Linked DNA regions of Drosophila melanogaster. The protein of the gene in region 1 interacts with the protein of each later gene in a pairwise test. Each region holds a gene or a part of one and is shown on either strand. Other genes may lie near its edges. The genes, in order: CG9636 and cora.

Evidence for each region.
Region 2: the proteins of CG9636 (region 1) and cora interact in a two-hybrid assay, tested with the Drosophila melanogaster proteins (one large-scale study listed by BioGRID).

Annotation. Positions count from the first base shown.
Region 1 is NT_033777.3:8,240,213-8,245,896, forward strand, and holds CG9636 (uncharacterized protein), read right to left. Parts: upstream 3,581-5,684; 5' UTR 3,324-3,580; coding exon 3,010-3,323; intron 2,953-3,009; coding exon 2,706-2,952; intron 2,635-2,705; coding exon 2,468-2,634; intron 2,365-2,467; coding exon 2,178-2,364; 3' UTR 535-2,177; downstream 1-534. Other genes in the region: Ada2b (transcriptional adaptor 2b), read right to left, coding at 98-211; CG33722 (uncharacterized protein), read left to right, coding at 4,001-5,437.
Region 2 is NT_033778.4:19,227,487-19,232,370, forward strand, and holds the start of cora (coracle), read left to right. Parts: upstream 1-1,576; 5' UTR 1,577-1,628; intron 1,629-1,937; 5' UTR 1,938-2,167; intron 2,168-4,884. Other genes in the region: CG7137 (uncharacterized protein), read left to right, coding at 1-996. UniProt on the Drosophila melanogaster protein: An integral component of the septate junction. May play a role in cell-cell interactions that are necessary for proper development. Vital for embryonic development.

The DNA.
Region 1 (5,684 bases):
CTATATACAAGTATCTAGAACCTCAAAAAGAGCGAACCACCCTACTGCAACATGTATACGTGCGTCGCTCGACGGCGTGTATGTGTGAGTTACTTACTTGCAGACACAAATCGAAGTTTTCGCACTCCGCGCAGTGCACTCGAATGCCCTGAATATCATCCTGGCAATTTGTGCAATTATACTTTGTGAATAAATCCGCGATTGTGGTCATTTTGGGCCAAAACCTGGATTTTCACGACAATTATGAGTTGTGCGAAAAAAACCTATGCCAGTAATGTGACCAGACGCGAAGTCAACGCCATATTGCTCTACTGAGAATTCTTATATGTACGGCCAACGAACCGAACCAGTTCATCGGAACAGTGCCGCCTATATAGCTAGTCTTAAAGCCTTTTTAGCTAATTTTCATAATTCTGTTGAATCTCTGAATTATAGTTAATTTCTAAATTATACTACTTACCAAAAGTACCAACACATTAAATATAGAATACAAATTTCAAACATTAGGCACATGTTCAAAACTCTAATGTTTATGCGTTAAATATTGATAGTAGTTTATTTAATTATTTTAAAAGTTTAATTCGAGTGTTTTGCCTTTTTTAAATTATCACAAAAAATAATATTAATATATATAAAATAAAACTAAAATAAAAGAAGTGCATATCAAACCAAAACAAGGTAAACATAAATACGAATATGTGATGGTTGAAACATTTGTAGCGTGGTGCTGAATAAAAATATAAAAAACTCATGTGCTTAAATGCAGTTCGATACGTAAATTTAAGCGGTGGTCAGGATTAAAAACTTAAGCTAAATTCTGAGTTACAAAAAAAATATAAAATGGGTAAATATCTTTTGTTTCAAACAAAAAGTGTAAAAGTAATAACTGCCGAAAAATATTTCGGTTGCTTACATCTAACATGAATAGGGCGTGGGACTGCCGAGATATTGTAGGTTACAATCATTACAATCATTGGGAAGGATTTGGGGTAGGCTACGCTGTATAAATAGTTGATTATTCGATTAGTTCATATGGTGAATACGTTTATATTATTGTTAGTATTGCTGTCTTACACCGAGCAGTAGCCGAATTGTTATGGGTTCCAGATATCTCAGTGGGCGGTGAGGACTAGTTTGTGTTGCATGTGGCTTTGGTGGCATTGTTGCTAGTTTACTCTTGCTAGTTAGCTTGGACCAGAGAAAAACAAAACGAGTTACACGATACAAAATGGGTTAACAGATCTTAAACAGATATGGCAAGTTACTTGTGCAGCTGCGCTTTTCAAAAACACGCACACGGCCAACAAAATTTATCAATTCGAGTACCTAAAAACGTCTAAATAAGTCTATTTGAGCGCCAAATTCGGTTTTGGTGTCGCACCTGCGTCTGATCCTAGGGACTGAAGTATGTTTAACAATACTGTTCGAGGACATTCAAGAGTTTGAGATTCACGATTTTCACAGATACGGTTCGATTTGAATTCGCTTGCGTAAGGAACTAAGGAAAAGTCACAGCGCAGGCGCGACCCCAGTCGTCATAATTGACGACTGGCAACGGAAACAGATCCATGTCCAGATCCGTCTGAACCGCCTGCTCCCAGCATCGAGACTCATAAGCAGGCGGCCGCGATGGATGGGCTCTCAAAATTTGCATAAGCGAGTAGTCCTAAAGCATAACTATCAACTAATTTGGTATGTAAAGTCTTTGTGTCTTTGTCATGGGCATTGGCGCGATGAGGGCTCAAGGTCCTGTGGCAATGGCCAACTAGCAACAGTATGACCAACATGCCGGCAGATGCCACAAACTCTGCACCATACTCACTCGGATATGGGAACCGATTCGCTGTGCTCGGTGTCTCGTCTTTGTCTCTAAACTCTCGCTGCTCATCGTCATCGTCTTGGGAAGCGTCTAAACATTGGCTAAGCTTGGCGGGGATCACTGGTGTGGTGAAGCTGGAATAGGTGCTGACATGGCTTTTGGCGGCGCTCAGCCCAACAATATGCATATGATTGCACACACTGTGCTCGATTTCGGGATGGCTGCTGTTGTTGGTGACGTTGGATCTGCAGCTACTGCTACTGGCGAAGATCGTTTTCGTGGGTGCGGATAAGTTATTGGGGTGTGTATTAATTTGCTTTTTGATAAAATACTTGAAGAGGGTTTTGTTCCTCTTTAGTTACGGTTGAATCTGCTTCTTGGGTTTTTTTAACTCAGCATCTTCGTCACGCTTAATCTCGGTGTACCGCTCGCCCTTAAGCGATACGATCTTATTGTCCCGGTAGCGAACCAGCTTGCGAGGCTCCATCTTCGGTACCACCGGCTTGTACTCGCGCTGGGTGGCATTCTTGTCAACATAGGAGTACCTAGATGGGGTCAAAAAAATAATATTTTACGTTTGGCTATTTTAAGTTGATATCCACTTCAATATACTGCTATGTTTATTTGCTTTTTAAGGTGTACACTTACCTAGCGATAATACGATTCTTGAGTTCATTATCGTCGACGATTACATTCTTCTTCATATAAGTAGTATGCGACTTGTCAGTAATACACTGGTTCGTCTCTTGACGATGCAAGAGAATCTGGGTGGCGCTATCGATGTCCCCCTTGGAAATTGCGATGCAGTGTTTGATCTAGAAATGGATTTAAATTCATTACACAGTATTACAAAATTCTTTAAATTTCACCATAAACTAATACTTACCTCGGCTATTGCCGAATCCGGAAACATTTCCTGGAGCACCTCAGTCTCGTCCAGGAAGTAGTCGCAAGTGGAGCTGGAGCTGTCGGTGGAACCTCCATCGCTAGTCTCCGAAAGATGTTGGGAACGCTTGTTGCCGCCACAGCCGCCACTGCTGCTGCTGTTCGATGAGAGCTCGTCTTTTTCGGAAGTTGACGAGTTGCGAGCACGCAGCTTGGACTCCGGAATAATGCTGGAGAGGCTCAGGGAGCTGTAAAAATATTTTATATTAAATGTTTCTGGCATAGGAATGAGAATGAAAACGTACTTTAGCGATAAGTTGACGGCGTCTGGGTTTTCCTGGGTTTTCTCCATATCGGTAAGCTCATTGGCCAGCTTGTAGATCCAGTCACAGATGATGCCCTGGTCAATGGTTGAAAACTCCTCGAAGTAGGCTCCCATCATCTCCACAAAGCCCTCAACATCGAAGCATGGATCCTGGGATGCCTCCTCCAAAATCGAAATAATGTACGAAAGCACGATTTCGTCCACAACACTAAAGTCGGCACCCGGAATGTGGCCGCTGATAAACTGCACCAGGCTACGCTTCACCATCTCGTGCTGCTTCTCTAAATTGGTCATAATGGCTATATAGTTTAAATGGACTTCTCGAAGTGTCTCTTGCTGGATCGGCGGTAATCAAAAAGTTTCCCACGCAGGGCGTCACTCAAAATGCTGAAACTCACTAGATGGGGACTTCCCCGGAACTTAGAGCATGTCCTCTGACAGTCGTATTACTGAATTATAATTTAGTTTTATTGCAAATTCCGTTTTGAATAGTTTTGATTTAGCTAGCTGCGCCTTTCTTTTGCTTCTTCCTGCTGCAATCAATAATACTCCGATACACAGGCTGCTCCTATCGATTGGGATATAAGGAACAGAAGTCTATCGATAAGTGGCTTCGAATTTAATGAGTTATATTGACGATCGGTAATTTGCTAATTTTTATACTATAATATATTTCAAGTAATTATACTGGGCGGTTATAAACGTAAAAGTTAAAAATTTAGAAATTAAACTCTTGCTAACCGATATCAATCACGGTGCGCATCTCTAATGAAAATAGGAAAAGCGAAAGTCACGCAAAGCAGTAAACAAATTTAAGGTATATCGATAGACGTACACCCACAACCCCAATTCCAACCGGCAAGTTCCGGAACGTAGTCTCTTCTTTAAAAGTCTATAGAGGTGAGTCTTTTTTGCCTCTACCTCGTAGCTGCCATACAGATACGTATCCTTGTAGGGAAGTGGCCAATCCGATGGACAAGCGCGTAACAGTCCTGCTGCCCAATGGTCGGCGGCAGAATGTGAACGTGACGGCGAACATGACGCTGTTGGAGATTCTGGAGACGGCCTGCTTCAAGCACGGCTACGATGCGGAGGAGCACTGCCTCAAGTTTCACAACAAGGTGGTCGGATTGACGCAACAGTTCCGTTTTAGTGGCCTGCCTAACAACTGTGTCCTGGAGATGGAGCAAACAGAAAAGCGGCGCACACTGAGTAACGTTCTTGTCTGCGTCCAATTGAACGACGGTTCCCGCCAGCAAGGGGACTTCTCGCCCAACGACACCATATGGCTGGTGGTCGAGAAGCTTTGCGAAACACATGTAAAGGCTTACGAAAGCCCCGTCATCATCTACATGCGCAGCGAGGTCATAGGACATGAGCAGATGCGACAGACCACTCTTAAGTCCCTAGGAATCCTCGAGGGTCGTGCCATGATGCGTCTTATCGACAAAAAACCCGAGGACCTTAAGACCCAGGCAAATGTGTATAAAGCTCCCGCTGTCAAGCCTCGGGTGGACAATGACGACCAGCCCAGTACCTCCCGCTCTGCAATGGCAGCTGGTGGCAGCGGAGGAGGAGGTGGATTTGCTCTTACCAGCAACATGATCAAGAATTTGAAACGCACGGCTCCTGAAGAAAAGGCCAGCGGTAGCGAACCAGCCAAGCCCTTAGGGGAATCCAATCAAGAGCAGCAGCCTCAGCCAGAACCACCTAAATATGACTGGGGCAATGGTTCCGGATACTTAATGAACCACCCTCCCGAGCAGAAGCAGGCAGAAAACGAAGTCGAAGAGAATCCAGGCAGGGCTCCACCAGTGGTGAAAATAATTGGGCCACGCCAGGCTGTACTCTTTTCCTTGGACGAATCCAAGAAAAATGCGAATGACCTGCCGGACTCATTTTTCGACTTGACCGTCAACGATTTGAAGATGGTACTCCGTGATTTAAAGCGTACGTCGAGCGGAGATGACGACGCTCCCTTGCTGACAGCAAAGCTAAGGGAATTGGAGCGCCAAAAGGCCATGCTGGCTAAGCTTAACCAGTACAAGGACTGTGTGCTGCGCATTCAGTTTCCCGATCGCTTCGTGCTCCAGGGCATGTTTAAGCCGCACGAGCCCCTTTCCAAGGTGGAGGATTTTGTTCGGGAGTTTTTGGTTCAGCCAGGTGAGCAATTCCATCTCTTCACCATTCCACCGAAGAAGGTGCTGCCCTCCGGTGAGACGCTCCTGGAGCTGAATTTTGTTCCAAATGCCATCGTGCATTTTGGCTTTATCAAGGACTCGCTCAATGCGGTGAGCAATCGATTCGTGAAGGAGGAGTACGTGGATCAGTTGACCTCCGAGGAGGGAGCGCACTACGCAGTGCAAAAGTACCGCCTTACCCGTGCAACGGCCTCAGGGTCTAGTTAATAGATACATACATACAGTCTGTGTGATATTAAATGAATCCGCTTTATTTCTATATATTTTTTTATTTGACACATTTTATATAAAATGAGAATTGTCGTTATATTCTTTATCAAATGAAACTGGAAAACTGACAGTAATACGCTGAGCCAGGCTTTAACATGTTCTTTTTTTTTTTAAACATGTGTTAGACAAAAATCCACTATCGCATAACAATCATGAGCTGGCAGTGATAAAGCATTGCTAATTT
Region 2 (4,884 bases), on another chromosome or scaffold:
GTTGCCGCCAAGAAGAAACCAAAGAAGAAGAAACCCAAAAAGAAGAAGGCCGCTGTGCCAAATGAAAATCTGAATGTGAACAAGGCAGCTGAAAAATTCACTTACCGGCAGGGCAGAGGACCTCTTGCCCCGCCCCAAGACTCCTCGGATGATGACTACGAAGATGTGGAGGATGGCATCCGGGCCATGCACAAGGTGAAGTCCGGAAGAATAGAGAAACAGCGACCACCAACGCAGGCCACAAAAGGTGGCAAAAAAGAACTGAAACTGAAACCCGAACTGGCCCAGGCGGCTTTGGAGGCCATGGAGGCCACCAGCTCAACCACGCCGGCTGCAAACTCGTTGGCCAGTAAGCTGCAATCGGAACTCCTGGGCGGACGTTTCCGATACATCAACGAGCAGCTCTACTCGACGACCAGTCGCAAGGCGGAGGCACTTTTCCGCAAGGATAGCTCCGCCTTCGAGGCCTATCACGCTGGCTACCGCCAGCAGGTGGAGAAGTGGCCCATCAATCCGCTTAATCGCATCATCAAGACCATCAAGAAGATTCCCAAAACAGCCATAATTGGCGACTTTGGTTGCGGCGAGGGCAAATTGGCACAATCCGTGCCCAACAAGGTGTACTCCATGGACTTGGTCGCTGCTCGTAGCGACATCATTGCCTGCAACATCACGGATACTCCACTCCAAGCTCGAACTCTGGACGTGGCCGTATACTGCCTCTCACTAATGGGCACGGATCTGAACGAGTTCTTCCTGGAGGCCAATCGAGTGCTCAAGCTGCACGGCACTGTCTATATCGCGGAGATTCAGTCGCGATTCCAGGATGTGCGGGAGTTTGTGCGTTGCCTCAATGCATGTGGATTCGATCTTAACAAGAAGGATGTGGCTGTTAACTATTTCTACTTCTTCCAATTCAAGAAGATGCGTCATGTGCCCAAGAACACCAAGATGAAAGCTTTCTCTCTCAAACCTTGCTTATATCGCAAGCGATAGGATGTTATCCTATTCAGATTAGTAGATTTCCGACTTTGCGAACTGTTAAAGAAACCAAGACAGCGAATGCAATTATAGATAGTTACATTAATTTTATGTAGGAGAAACCGCAATAAATTTGGAATTCTTACAAATGTGTTTTGATCTCTTATTATTCGGTCGAAAATATACAAATTGATAATAAGGCGCGATAATTTAGCAACAAAAAAGGGCACAGATTAAAAATGTATGTCGAATACATAGCGCCTTGATATATGCGACAAAAATGTATAAAAGATAAAAAATCACTCGAATTTCCATTAGAGGTCATATAATTTTTAAAAAATTTAACGATTGAAATCGGACCATACATTTATTAAGAAAACATAGATTTATATACATTTTGTAGCGATATCAAACAGCGCTATTGCTATAAACATTTGAAAAGCAAACCGAAGCACTCAGATGAACCAACGGCATTTGCCAGCACTGCAACCACTCGGTGGTGGTTTCTCAGCAAAACTCAGTGGTCTCAACTGAAATCGACTCAAATCCAAATCGAGCAGCGGCAAGCGGATGGCTCTCAGTTTCAGTTTTCGGTTTCAGTACCAGTTTGCTCTTCGTGCACAGCACATCGAATATTTGTGAAGACGGTACGTTTTGTGTGATCGCGCTGCCAGAATTGTGAGAAGATTTGTTGTTTGGCCAGCAGCAAAGTAATTGCAAAACGGCGACGAGCGGATAGAAAAGAAAAGCGCGCAATTCGGCAGCAGTGTGTTTATAAATAAAATGGGAAATTAATTTATTAGCAACCACTATTCGCGCATTTTCCGCCCACGCCCACCCCGCTCTCTATTATACCCCTGAGCCCAACCCCCCTCACAGCACACACACCCCTTCAACTCCCACTCTTGCGTTCTCTATTACTCACTCAAAGAAACTCAACGTCAAATTTTCAACAGGTATTCAACGACGACGACGACGACAACAACAAATTGTCTTTTTTCGCGAACGAATAGAAAAAAGTGGCAAAGAATTTGTTTACTAGTGTGAAAGCGAGTGAGTGCAGTGCCCACGGGAGAAAAGTGAAAACAACACAAATACAGGAGTAAAAATCAGCCAACCGCCAAACTAACGGTAACTGCGTGTCCTTGCTGTGGATTAAAAAGGATTCTAGAGGCGTCTTAAAAGGGTGAGTACAATTTGGGGATTGCGACATAGGTTAATTACATTTTTATTCAAGTTTTTTTCTTTTGGGCTGTGGTCGGGAGTTTTTGGTGGCTTATGTTTTCGATACCAACACAAGCGCAGAATGACTTGGGCAGTATGACTTCATAGCACACACCACACACACACACACACACCCGAAAGCAGAGTTAATTGAGAGCAGCTTTGCGAGCGGGAGCGAAAAGAGAGCTCGACTCACTCACGCGGCATTTGTATCTGCGTATCTGTATCTGTGAGCTGTCAAGCTTTTCGAGTGTATCTTTTGGCACGATATTCTTATTCTTTCGACTTCTTGTTTTTGTCAACTCGGCCCACATTGTTGTTGTCGCCAGCTCTCTTTTGATTTTGCCTCTGTCTTTGCCTTACTCCAATTTTCCTTCTTCTGTGTTTTCCTCGTTTGCTTCGCATTTCGGGGCGCAGGGTGGGAAATTCTTATTGGGCCCGCGGTAGTCAAGGAAACGTTCCACAACACCGATCGGATACAAATGTATCTCAAAGGTAGTTTCGTTTAGCAGTGAACTTTAAAAAAGGGGGCAAATACTTTATATCTTTATAAAACCTACTCAGTATCGGTAAAACTACAACGTATGTATGTATATGTATCTCAAAGATACGCATGTGGAAAGGCATACAATCACTTTTGAATTCTACGCAAATTGAAAAGGTTATTCATAATGATGATTATGAATAGAAAACTTCTTAAGTGTAAATATCAATTGAGTAGAATTTATACTTTGAATTTATATTTTAAAGAAGGCCAACTACCAACCGAAAAATCAAAATTCCTAGAACTGCGCACTTTATGAAACCGATTCCTTTCATTTCCTTCTCTCGCTTAAATATAATTTTGGAATTTCGTCGCATTCATATGGCATATATAATAGTTTCATATGGCGGCTAAATTCCCCAAGCATCAAGACGTCACTGTTCCCAAAATAGAATCCATTGGGTTTGCGAGCAGGTTTCCACATTTCTTATCACAACATTGAGCGCTTTTTGCATTGGCATTTTTCATATGTTTGATATCGGCTGGGGTAAACAACGTCGGTCTTTATCCCAGCCACTAGGAAACATGGCTAAGATAAGATAAGGCCACCACAACAAAGGCCAGTTATGAATGGCAGGTGACTGGTGGCGATATTTTAGGTGTCCCCTCATCCCCCATCCACTGAGTCACGGCACGATTTTCACCATCCCCGGAAAACCTGGGGCGTTGACTTGGCAACCAAAAAACCGTTCTTCGAAAACCGCTGTTTACGTGAAGTCTTTTTTCTTCCACCTTTTCCGGGAGGTGTGGGCTTTGACCCAAATAGTAAGAAACATTAACATGTAGACTTCGTCTTCTTGGCCAGGCCATGCAAAGTGGGAATGGAAACGAACTGGCTAACATGAGGTTGAGCTTGCATTAGAAAAGAAAGAAATAAAAAAAACCGGTTGTTGCTGGCCAAGAAGTTGGCTGCACAGCAGACAAACAGATAAAGCAGCCGAGCAAAGCAAACGAGGAGTGCCAGCCAACTGAATGCCAATAACTGTACAACCAGCGAGTGGAAAACTATACTACAAAAATCTGGAGAGTGAGAGAGTTTCGGAGGGCTAACGACTTGGCAGCACGCGAATGAACATGGCTAAAAAAAAAACAAAATGAGTCGGAATCAGAGCCCCCTCGAAAACCTGAATTCGAACACGACTCCGAATTCGAGCGTTACCAACTAGGTGTGTCTTCCAGCGTTAGAAGCTCCCAGAGCGCGTCTCTCCGTATTCTCTCGGATTCTCTCGTCGGAAAACGGAGACTAAGCCCCAACCAGCGATTTTCCAGCGTGGCCAGATCGTTGTTAAGATTGGGGATCTCACCTACTATGTGTAGCACTTAATATCTTCATCTTTATGAATCCTCTTTAGAATCGCTAGCTATTCTTAGTTCACCGGAAGATTTCCACCCTCCTTCAGCGAGGTGAAAAACCAATCTAATCTTTCAACAAACTTAATCGGATGGAAGGCAGCTTTTCCAGCCCCCTTTTTAGCCAATCAGTTTCCCTCTTGCGCTCCTCCTAAATGCCCATTCGATTTTCCGTTTTCTATTTTTATTCCTTGTCGCATCGATTTTTACTTGTGCGGATGGGGCGTCTATAGGTCTATGATTAATGTGCAAAGCGCTGAAGTGGACAAAATTCTCCTCGAGGGCGGTTCGTTTGTTTACTTTCTCCGCCCTTCGCGACACTTTTTCCCTCACCTTCTGGGCAGAAATCAAAACGCGATGTGCATGTGGGTGCGGCATACCAACACAGTGAAAAATATTAACCTAAAACCACTTATTCTGTTCTACTAAATAAAATAGTTATGTTCCTTAAACCAAAAAATTGTTTCAACCCTTTTCTATATTATATATATTATTTTAAAAAGACTTGCATACGGATACAACATCTAAAATGATTTTGGTTCAGCTTATATTTTATGGTGTTGAAATAGCAGCAACTGTGGATGCATTTCAGAGTTCGTTGGCCAGGCGAAGTCAAATGCTTTAAATAGCCATTGACAGTGGAGAACTGATGGTGCCGGGTGGTGGAGCGATGGTGGTGCAGATGGCTATGTGTGGGTGTGATCCAGTGCGGTTATGTCGCCTTGTCATCCGAACGTCGATCATAGCGGTAATTAGTCAAGCGACACACTGCTCCACAGAGCCGT